Nothobranchius furzeri: one gene and its partner. Each later gene encodes a partner of the first gene's protein in a complex. Links are inferred from orthologs where the notes say so. Each region holds a gene or a part of one and is shown on either strand. Other genes may lie near its edges.

Region 1 (4,390 bases):
AATCAGAGGAGAGCTGTCTGAATATCAGGAAATAAGACTCCAGATCCTGTCGTCTGAAGCTACAACCTTCTGGCTGAATTCTCTGTGTGGAAACTGATGCATCTGAGTGCCCACCCATCTCACAAGGCCTTCATTCCTAACGATCACTGCAGATGTATTACAAATGAGTAAAGGGCCCCCTTAAACAACACTTGGTGTAATTAAACAGCACAGTTCAAAACAAGGCTGCTCAGCCCTGGAGGGCCACTACCTGCACGGTTTCTGTTTCTACACCAACACACCTGCATTACATCAATAACAGACTTGTGTTTCAATCATTGACTCGGGTGTGTCTAAGCAGGAGAACAGAGCTGAAATCTGCAGGGCAGAGCTCCTCCCACTGCTGTTGTGTTTGGGTTAGGTGCTTTTGTAGCACACCATTGTGCAACATTTCAGCAACATATTGTGTAAAAGAGTGACTAAATATGCTTTCTGGCTACTGGAACGTTTCAGAGCATAGTTCCCTCTTTCTGAAGTGAAATGGTTTGTGTCTGTGAGATAAAATCTTATTCAAGTGAGATTTGTCTGATTCGTACGGAGAAATCCATCATTGTCAGAAAAAAAGGATATTCTGTTGTCCTTTTCCCCGCCACAAGAGGCAGTCCAACCACGTACCCTGGATTCCCACTGTGATGGACAGCCACTTCTCCACCGGCCTCCTTTACATAAACAAGTGAAACAGACAACGCCTTTAGCTGATTGTCAGCATTATCGTGTGACTTGTTTTTTTGGACAGCTTTTTCTGTACTAAAAACTAGATTCACTCGTTACCAGATACATGTCTGTAGCTGTGGAACGACAGAAACGTGTCTCTTAAATGTGCATTACAGGACATCCTCGGGTCTCAGGAAAACTTTGTCACACATGAGATCAAACACCAGACCATAGAGAATAAAGTATCAGGTTTCATAAAAAATAAATAAACATCTGACTGAGCGGCCTTAGAATAAAAGTTCTCAGGAAAAATGTACTGAGACAAATCCGTAAGAATGCAGCCAGACCAGACTACTTGTGGAGTAACTGTCAGATGAAGTGCTCTCAGGTAGAAGTGACTTAGAGATGAGCTAAACGTCCAGCAGCTGGCGGCGTTGTCACATCACGACCGCACCGATGTCCAAATACGTCATCAAAGTAAGAGTCAGGCTTCTGACACCACAGTAAGTTTCATCACTTCTCTCCATTCTCTGTACCTTTTCTATGTGTGGCAGAGTGGAGCGGATTGCTCCACCTGCTGTCACTTCCCCTTGACTATGGAGCCAGCCAATCAGGGCCCTGGTGGCCTCCTGGCTCACCACAGCTGGTGTGTTGAGGCTTCTGATTGCTGTTACTCCATCAGGCTTTTGGTTACTGCCATCCCATCAGCATGGGGTGACCAATCCCTCCCTTCCACAAGCTGGGGGGGGGGGTCAGAGCTTGGGCCTTCTCCGTCTGCCCTAAGTAGTGCATGAGGAGGGGGCACAACTGAGGAGCAGCCAGCTTGGGACAACGCTTACAGAGCCATTACAGGGCCAAAGGAGCCACCGTGGTAGGCTAGGATGGCGCCGGGACGTCTGATGGACGGCGAGCTAATGGCATTGACCTGCTAGAGCTGTGGGACCAAAAGCAGCTGTGGTGTGGCTGAAACCCAAACAGCTGAGAGTCTTGGCAGGCAGGCACCTGAGTGGGCCATCAACGCGGAGTCCTCAGATGGATGACCAACACTCCTCCACCCACAGGACTGTATTTAATGCCTCTCTTTATATCTGCGTAGTTTAGTTTTTTCCTTTCGCTCCCAGTTGGAGACTGCTGGTAGTTGGTGCTCTTCCCCTCCCCCGGTGTAGCATCCCCCCCCCCCTGTGTGGTTTGCTGTGGTGGCGGGATTTTGTTTTTGTCTTCAGTGGGCACTGTTTCCTGGGTGTCCTGGAGGCGGTGGGATGCCCACTGCTCTCCTTTAGTTAATTCACCACCTGGGAAGATCCAACTGCGGTTAAATTTGATGAAGTCTCTTGACTTCAGAGAAAGATTTTAAACTTTTATGAATGAAACTTGAACGTCGGAACAACGCCATCTTTGAACTTCTTGAGTGAATTGGCCTATGGCGTTAAGGGCTTAGCGATTCCTAGGGAGCCGTACCCTAGGTGGCGCTGTTGGGTTTTACTAAGCCTTCTCCGACGAAAACCCGTCTGAACAGATGTGTGTTCGGCTGCTCTTTAAAGGAGACCACTGAGTCCACTACTAGACATTTTCCAACTGTTCATTTGAATACTTAAGACTTAGACTGAGAAAGGAAATCCTCCATGCATCAGCCCTGCTTCCACAAAACACAAGCCGTGGTTACCTGCAGGGTCAGCATGTCACTTGATGAGCCAGGAATCCTACTGGGACACAGAAAGACCCAGTGGGGTACTGTACCTGAATAAACTGGATCTGAAACAGCTGATCCAGCAGCTGAGCGGCTTCAGGGACAGGTCCAAGAACCAGAGACACAGAAGCATTCACCACTGCACCAGCTGGGTTATATTTCAGCACATAGACCACCTGAAGAGACAAATCAAACACCTACTGATTAGTTAAAGGTACTAAAACAGCTCCTCATCAGTTCTCTGAACAAACTGATGGTCACAAAAGCCATGGTTCCATTAGAACCTACCGACACTGGGATGTTGCCATTTCACAGCATTTCCTTCAGTAACGTGTTCTAGGCTGCCTCCCCAGACTGTCCGTCACCGAGGACGCCGAGGTCCAGATGACTTTACTGCTTTGTATTTAATAAAAAATAAGAATGCTTTCGCACTGCAGTCGTCTTCATTTTGGTCTCGACTTCCTAATGTGGATGGGACAATGGAACGTGGACCTCAGTCGTTTTTAATCTCTGGATAAGGTCTTGCTTCCATGCGTGCTGAGTCATGGAAAAAATGCTAATTCAGATGAATGTGGTTGCTGACTGGCCCAGCGCAACACCCCCACGCTTTATGGCGAGCCCACCCACCAGAGCCGTTTCTCAGTGTTAATGGAACACCACCCAACCTGTGTCAAGCCACGCTGAGTAGCTACTACAGGAACTGTGGTTAAAGGGAGAAAAGTGTCCTCACTATAAGCTGCAGGTCTGGACAGGTGATCAGGGGTCGGGTTAGGAGCACCATCTCACTAGTATGAAAGTGAACTGACAGCACACTATGTCAGACTCCTACTGGACCAGCAGGTCTCACCTGGACCACCACGTTGAAGCAGGAGGAGTTAAGGAGAACTGGGGTGAGGTTTTCTCCACCTCCGTCTGTCAGCTCGCTCCATGTCCCCTCTGTGGACTCCAAGATGACTGAAGCCAACTTCACAGGAACAACCTCGGAACCAGAACCAGAACAAAATTAGTTCCACTTGGTACCGAACCTGCAGCAGAACGGTTCTGTTACATCGCAGAACTGAGCCTCTGTCTCGGTCCTCCTGCCCTAAAACCAGGAATGATTTGCTTTTTATACTTTCCCTCGTTACTTGATTGTATTCTAAAATAACATTTTCATGCAGAAGTGAAAGCTGCAGATCCCGTCCGACATGACAACACAAGCCATCATCAGCATCTAGGGGTGAAGGAGGTCCGCCTCGAGGGAGAAGGTTAATGAGGCCGTGGTTCGTAGAAGCAGCTTCGTTGATCATGCTCATTAAATGGAGCTGTTGGTTTTCGGTCTGTGATCCGGTCCGCGGCTGGACGCAGTTCGGTCGGAGCCGCCCCGAACCTTCCTGGATCTTATCTTCACAGCGGAGAGACGCCCGGAGAGCCTTTCAACCATCTCAGCTATGGCGCTCTAACTCTAACGCACTTCAATAAAAGTGATGAGCCAGTGAATCAGTTTTAGCTTGGTTCATATGTAAAAATTGCACACACACACGCACACACACACGCACACGCACGCGCACGCACACACACACGCACACGCACACACACACACACACACACACACACACACACACGGAGCAAAGATCAGATCTTAACGTTTTCACTGATCTGTAAAATCTGCTGACATAAAGTCGGGCCAGTGAAGAGCAGAAGAGCTCTTCTCAGGTTGGGACTGGGATGAGTGACGGCTGTGGCGTGAGCTGCTGCACGTTCTAGCTTTGGGACCTACAGACAGCGGTCTGGTGGTCCCATCCTAACCTGGAACAGCTGAAAGGTTGTTTCCGGTTTGTCCCAGCTGCTCTGGGTGTAAATTAGACCTCCTGTAGGCGAGTCGAAGAGGTTTGCAGCTGCAGAAGGTCTCTGGCTCTCCTGCTGTCCAGCACGTTCTGATCGGAGTTCACTGGTAAATATTTGTTCCATTTTTAATAACAAGATTTAAAAAACTGTTAAAAGAATAAATACTTACGGCTGCGTCTGCAT
Region 2 (5,128 bases), about 44 Mb from region 1:
TGTGGTTGTTGTTTTGTTTTGATTTGATTTTTGATATTTTTTCCAAGATTTGACTTCAGATTTCATGTGGTACGTTTGGGAAGTGCGTAGCTTTATATTAAAACCAGAGGATCCAAGCCTCTTTAAAAACTTTATATAGCTTTTATTTTTTATATATTTTTAAATCAATTGATTTCAGTATATTTAGACACCTGTTGTACTTGTTGCTATAAAACGTCTCATAAACAGTGATGACTGAACATGTTTCAAACTGGTTAAATTCATTAAGTTAAAATCAGAGCTGGTTTGGCTGCTTAGTCTTGTATCAGAGGTTTAAAGAGTTTACAGTAAACATTTCACTTCACGAGTTCTTCTCAGTAGCTCCTGCTGGATGACGTGTTCAGACACACACGTTCACACAAACTGAGACACTGACTTCTATGTTATAACTAATATAACTGTTCAGCTTCAGTTTTAATGATTGTGTTCAGTTATTTATCAAAGACAGTCTGGTGCAGGATTTTCACAGGGATTTAAAAACAAGTCCTTACATGTGCTGTAGAGCCATAATTAAATACATGTGTTGGGAGAGTTGATCACTGGGTTTCTGTTTTATTCCTCTTTTTGTTGTCATGGTGACGCAACAGGGGCCACATGGGTGCAGGTGGTCGCAATCAAAAGGAGCTGTCAGTCTGTCGCCTGGTGGTTTTACAGAGGAGGGATGGGTAGCCGTAGTTATTGTTGACCATTACAATTCAGTTCGTCTTACTTTGTTTACATGGTCACGTTATGTTTAGGGATTTGACCCAAATTAAGTTAAAGCCACCTGTAACAGTAAAAAGCTATAATAAATGGAGAAATGCATCCCATCTCTCTGTGGGTTCATGAGAAGCTGACAGCGCATCAAACAAATAGACCTGGGGCCTCATTTATCAAGCTTGCTTACACACAACACGGGGTCGGAAAACTGCGTAAGGAACTTTCCACGCAAACTTTGGGATTTATGAAAGAAAACTTAGCAGGAAAATGTGCGCAACTTTAAGTTGACTAAGGACCTTGCTTACACACATGTTGGACATGGAGAGCACCTGCAGTGCTGCCGAGAAGGATAAAATTATGAAATCCTGCAGCATTATCACTTGTACTGCTTCGTTTTCACACAGACAAGACCCCCACATGCACACACACACGCGCGCACACACACACAGCCTAAAGCGCAGAATACGGAATGCAGAATATCAGCAGGGGGACAGATCAAGACAGTGTGAGCGTCCTGTCACCGTGACCCGATTGATCATGCGCCCTGGCTACTTGTACAGGGGAGATTTCTGTTTGGGTGGCTGGTTAGCGTGCGTGACTTTCACCTGGGAGTCTGGGGATCGAATCCTGATTGGACAAAGTTTTTTATATCCGCCACAGATCTCTCTGAAGAATTCAAAACATTGATGGCTTCAGCAACATTGTGCCACTCCGTGGAATTTCTCTTGTTTTGCAAAAGCACTTCCTTTCATTTCTCCACCTCACCCACAAGTACCTGAATTTCTGCTTGTGAAATAGCGCTTCCTTGATCTGCGGTCGTGATCGAAATGCTGCAACAAGCCAGCTTATGTATATGCATGAGATCCACAAGGCACTTTGCATTGGCTATTTATGGCAGTAAGTGGCTGTGGTGAGGGCGGGATGTGACTAAAAAGCAGCTGAGAAACATTCTCGTTAGTCTCCGATTTATGAAGCGGAGATTGCGTGCAGCTGTGCGTCCTCCATGTTTGATAGATCACAAACCTGCTTGGCGTAAGTACTTTTTTTTTGCTGAGCTTAAGTACGGTTTTATTAAGGAATCTACGCAATGTCTGATAAATGAGACCCCTAGACCCATTCTCTGCCTCTATAGTGACTGTGGAAGTATGTGGTCACCCGGAGGAGGTGACGTATACATGCTCACAGAACTAGTAAACACTGATTTCTAAATACTCATGTTTGCTGTTTCTGTTCTTTACCATAAAAGATCCTCAGAGTCTCCAAACCGAGGAAGAGAAGGAGCAGAACCACGTCCAGAACCAGATTGTCTGATGGGTACGGCAACAAGATTCCTGCACAGACAAAATGGACCACATCTCTTTTTGGTTTCCACAGAGAAGGTTTCATCAAGGAGCTGTTTGGTTGCCAGGTGTTATCTCATGAACACTGAGGATTTATTTGAAAACTAAAGCAGATGAAGGCACAGTTGAGATGTGATTAATCATGGTTCCTCCTGAGTTTATAGTTTCTGCTGTTGTGAAAGTGGGAAATTTGGTAAATATGTCACAGACCTTTATAAATGAACATGAGGATCTCTGCCAGGTAGAAGGCAGCAAAGTACCAGCTGTTCAGGTACAGGAGCACCTGCAGAGGAGTGGATGAGAGCTGTACGAGAGACGGTCAAGGATAACAGCAGCAGGTAAAACATGAGCTGCCAGTTATATAAGGATACAACAGGCTGGCTTCCTGCAGAAGAGACAGAACCAAGCTCTCATTAACATCTGCAATTAGTATGCTGTAGGCTCAAAATCAGCATCAGTAAAATTACTGACTTACTACTGATGGATAAAATAGTAAAAGAAAAACAGTAGGGCTAAATGATGTAACTAGCTCTAAATGCTATTTATATAGAGAGAAAATCACTCATCTGGATCTTGCATCTATAAAATAATATTTTTGTTTACGTAAAAAAGCACGAAATACGTGTTTTCCACAATAAAAAGATTATTTGTTACTGCGTAGCTTTTAGGAGTAATACGCAGTAACGTGTTCGCTGATAAGTAATGTGTTGATTTTTAGGTCATCGCAGTTCGAGCAGACGCTTAGCTTCAGTTCACAGACAAGATAAACCTCGGCTGCCGTTTTCTTTAGCTTTTCCTCCAAACGGAAACGAAAACGTTACATTTCCCTTTTCATTTGGGTCCAAATAAACATCGCGACAGATTCAGACGGCGGACTTTTATTCGGTTTATAAGGAACAAACAACTGCATGAAACTCACCAGGCGCCATGTCTTGATTTCTGGTTGCTATGGATACCATAGACTTAGAACACATACACGCTGCTTTCTTTTATGTAATTTCGAAGCCGCCATATTGGAGAGGGAGACGGGCGAAGCAGACTCAGGCTTTTTGGAACGGCTTACAGCTAAAAGCCAGCAGATCTTTTACTACTCTAATCCCAATCCATACTCGAAGCATCAGTGGTACGGAACATCTCTGTTTAAAATTTAATCCATCCACACCGGTCGCAGTGCAGAACATTTTAGGCGCATCTCAGAAGTGACTCGCCTTCATGTTTTCTATTTTTTAAGATGTATTCAGATCATCACCCGTCTTCATTTGGTCAGGATGACCCTGAACAGTCTCCATCAGCTGCCTGCACTGCACTACAGACACTAACAGCAGGATTAAGACAAATCCCGATTCATTTCAATCTTTAGTTAGAAACGTGACGAAAACTAATTTTGTTTAATTGGTGTCTAACTGAAACTGGGCTTTACCTCTGTTTTGTGTTCATCAAAATATTTTTATTTCATATAAAAATTGTTCGTGATTAATAATCAAGTAATTTAGAAAATTTAGGCTATTTTTTATTTAGGCCTTTTTTTGTTGTTTGTTACTCATAAAATGTAATACAATCACCAGGGTAATCGATCGTTTCAGTATACTGAGCTTAAGATAATTTTGTGCTAGTTAAACCAAATCAATAAGAATGTATTGTTTTTAAAACTAAAAGAAACCAAACTCATTAGCTCAAAATTATTCACCAGTTGTATGTTTTTTTTAAATATATATTGTCTGTTTATTCCGACACTATTGTAATCGTAAAACGTTTAGGCTTGTAATGAATCAAAAAAGGAAAACTATATTTCACGCCATAAATGCATTATGCAGTCTGAGGATTTCAGTGCAGCTTCTACATTTTACATGTCTGTGTGCTTCCGGTCGCGCTGGTTTTTCTTTTTCGGTCCTCTTCATCATAAGGGCTGCACTACTGCCCCCTTTTGGATCTATCGAGTTTCTACAGTCTTTCACGTGCACCCGTGGATTAAAAACGGGTCTAATGTGTATGTCGATGGTCTAAACCTGTTTTGTTTTTTGTGTTTTCTGTAGAATATATAGTTACGTTAATAAAATATCAAATCAAGCTTTATTATTTTTCCCACAAATGAATCTATTATTCATCAAATAAAGAGCTAAAACAAAACAAAATTGGGTTATTCTATTTTTCATCTGAAGTAGCCTATTGGTTTTCTTTATAAATTCAAATTCATTCAGTCTATCATTTATCACCCAAAGATTGCAGGAGAAAATGTTTAATTGTTTATTTATGAAATTGTATGTCTGTTGTCGGACAAAAGAATAACCATCACGTTCAAATAATGATCACTTTATACAGAAAATCAATCTATCCGTTTTCTGAAACTAATCACATCCCATTTCGATCCAAACCAAAAAATCGCAGAGGGTTCTGTAAAATCGTTGAAAGCATTTTAATTCAAATAAGGGCCAAGGTGTCAAAAAAACGGCAATATCCAGCATGCATCAGCAGCGTACTGATTGGCCAGGACTTTTCGAGGGTTTACGTGGCACTGTTGTTCCTGCGCATGCTCAGTGACAAGTCTGTCCCGGCAGGAAGATGGTGTCGTTGCGGTTCAAGATGCAGCAGTCGTTTGTGTTTTCAGTTTTATTCCTGAATGCTTTATACATCTGCGTCTCCTCTTTGTACTTTCACATCGGAGAGACCGAGAAGAAATGTTTCATAGAGGAAATTCCAGACGAGACGATGATTATCGGTGAGTGTCGGAGCTTAATGCTGTTAGCTAAAGCTGTTAGCGCCATGCTGAGTTGAAGTAAACTTGTCTCTTCACAGGAAATCAACAAATGTCAAGCTTGTGCTGAGCTCAGAAATGTTTTATATCTCTCCGAAGCTTTATATAAACCTATATCCTATAAACTATTTTACCGGTTGCAGCTAAACCGATTCAATTATGCGTTTTCAGGAAGTTTCCTGTTAGATTTTGTTTAAAGTTGAAGTAAATACATATCTCTGCTTAATATTTCTTAATTATATATTTCTTTAAAAATTCTCCGCTTGAATAGTGAAAAACTGATGCCTTTTAGGTTGCA

Evidence for each region. Proteins that work in one complex are often made in the same cells at the same time.
Region 2: tectonic-1 (region 1) and tmem216 share a complex: the UniProt entries of both Homo sapiens proteins name them as parts of the tectonic-like complex. The link is inferred for Nothobranchius furzeri from reciprocal best matches to the Homo sapiens genes TCTN1 and TMEM216.

What each region holds. Positions count from the first base shown.
Region 1 is NC_091741.1:110,005,961-110,010,350, reverse strand, and holds part of tectonic-1, read right to left. Parts: coding exon 4,377-4,390; intron 3,360-4,376; coding exon 3,228-3,359; intron 2,557-3,227; coding exon 2,431-2,556; intron 699-2,430; coding exon 610-698; intron 1-609. UniProt on the Homo sapiens protein: Component of the tectonic-like complex, a complex localized at the transition zone of primary cilia and acting as a barrier that prevents diffusion of transmembrane proteins between the cilia and plasma membranes.
Region 2 is NC_091741.1:65,724,257-65,729,384, reverse strand, and holds the start of tmem216 (transmembrane protein 216), read right to left. Parts: upstream 3,075-5,128; 5' UTR 3,053-3,074; coding exon 2,998-3,052; intron 2,464-2,997; coding exon 2,450-2,463; intron 2,383-2,449; coding exon 2,289-2,382; intron 2,070-2,288; coding exon 1,977-2,069; intron 1-1,976. Other genes in the region: tmed9 (transmembrane emp24 domain-containing protein 9), read left to right, coding at 4,638-4,794. UniProt on the Homo sapiens protein: Part of the tectonic-like complex which is required for tissue-specific ciliogenesis and may regulate ciliary membrane composition.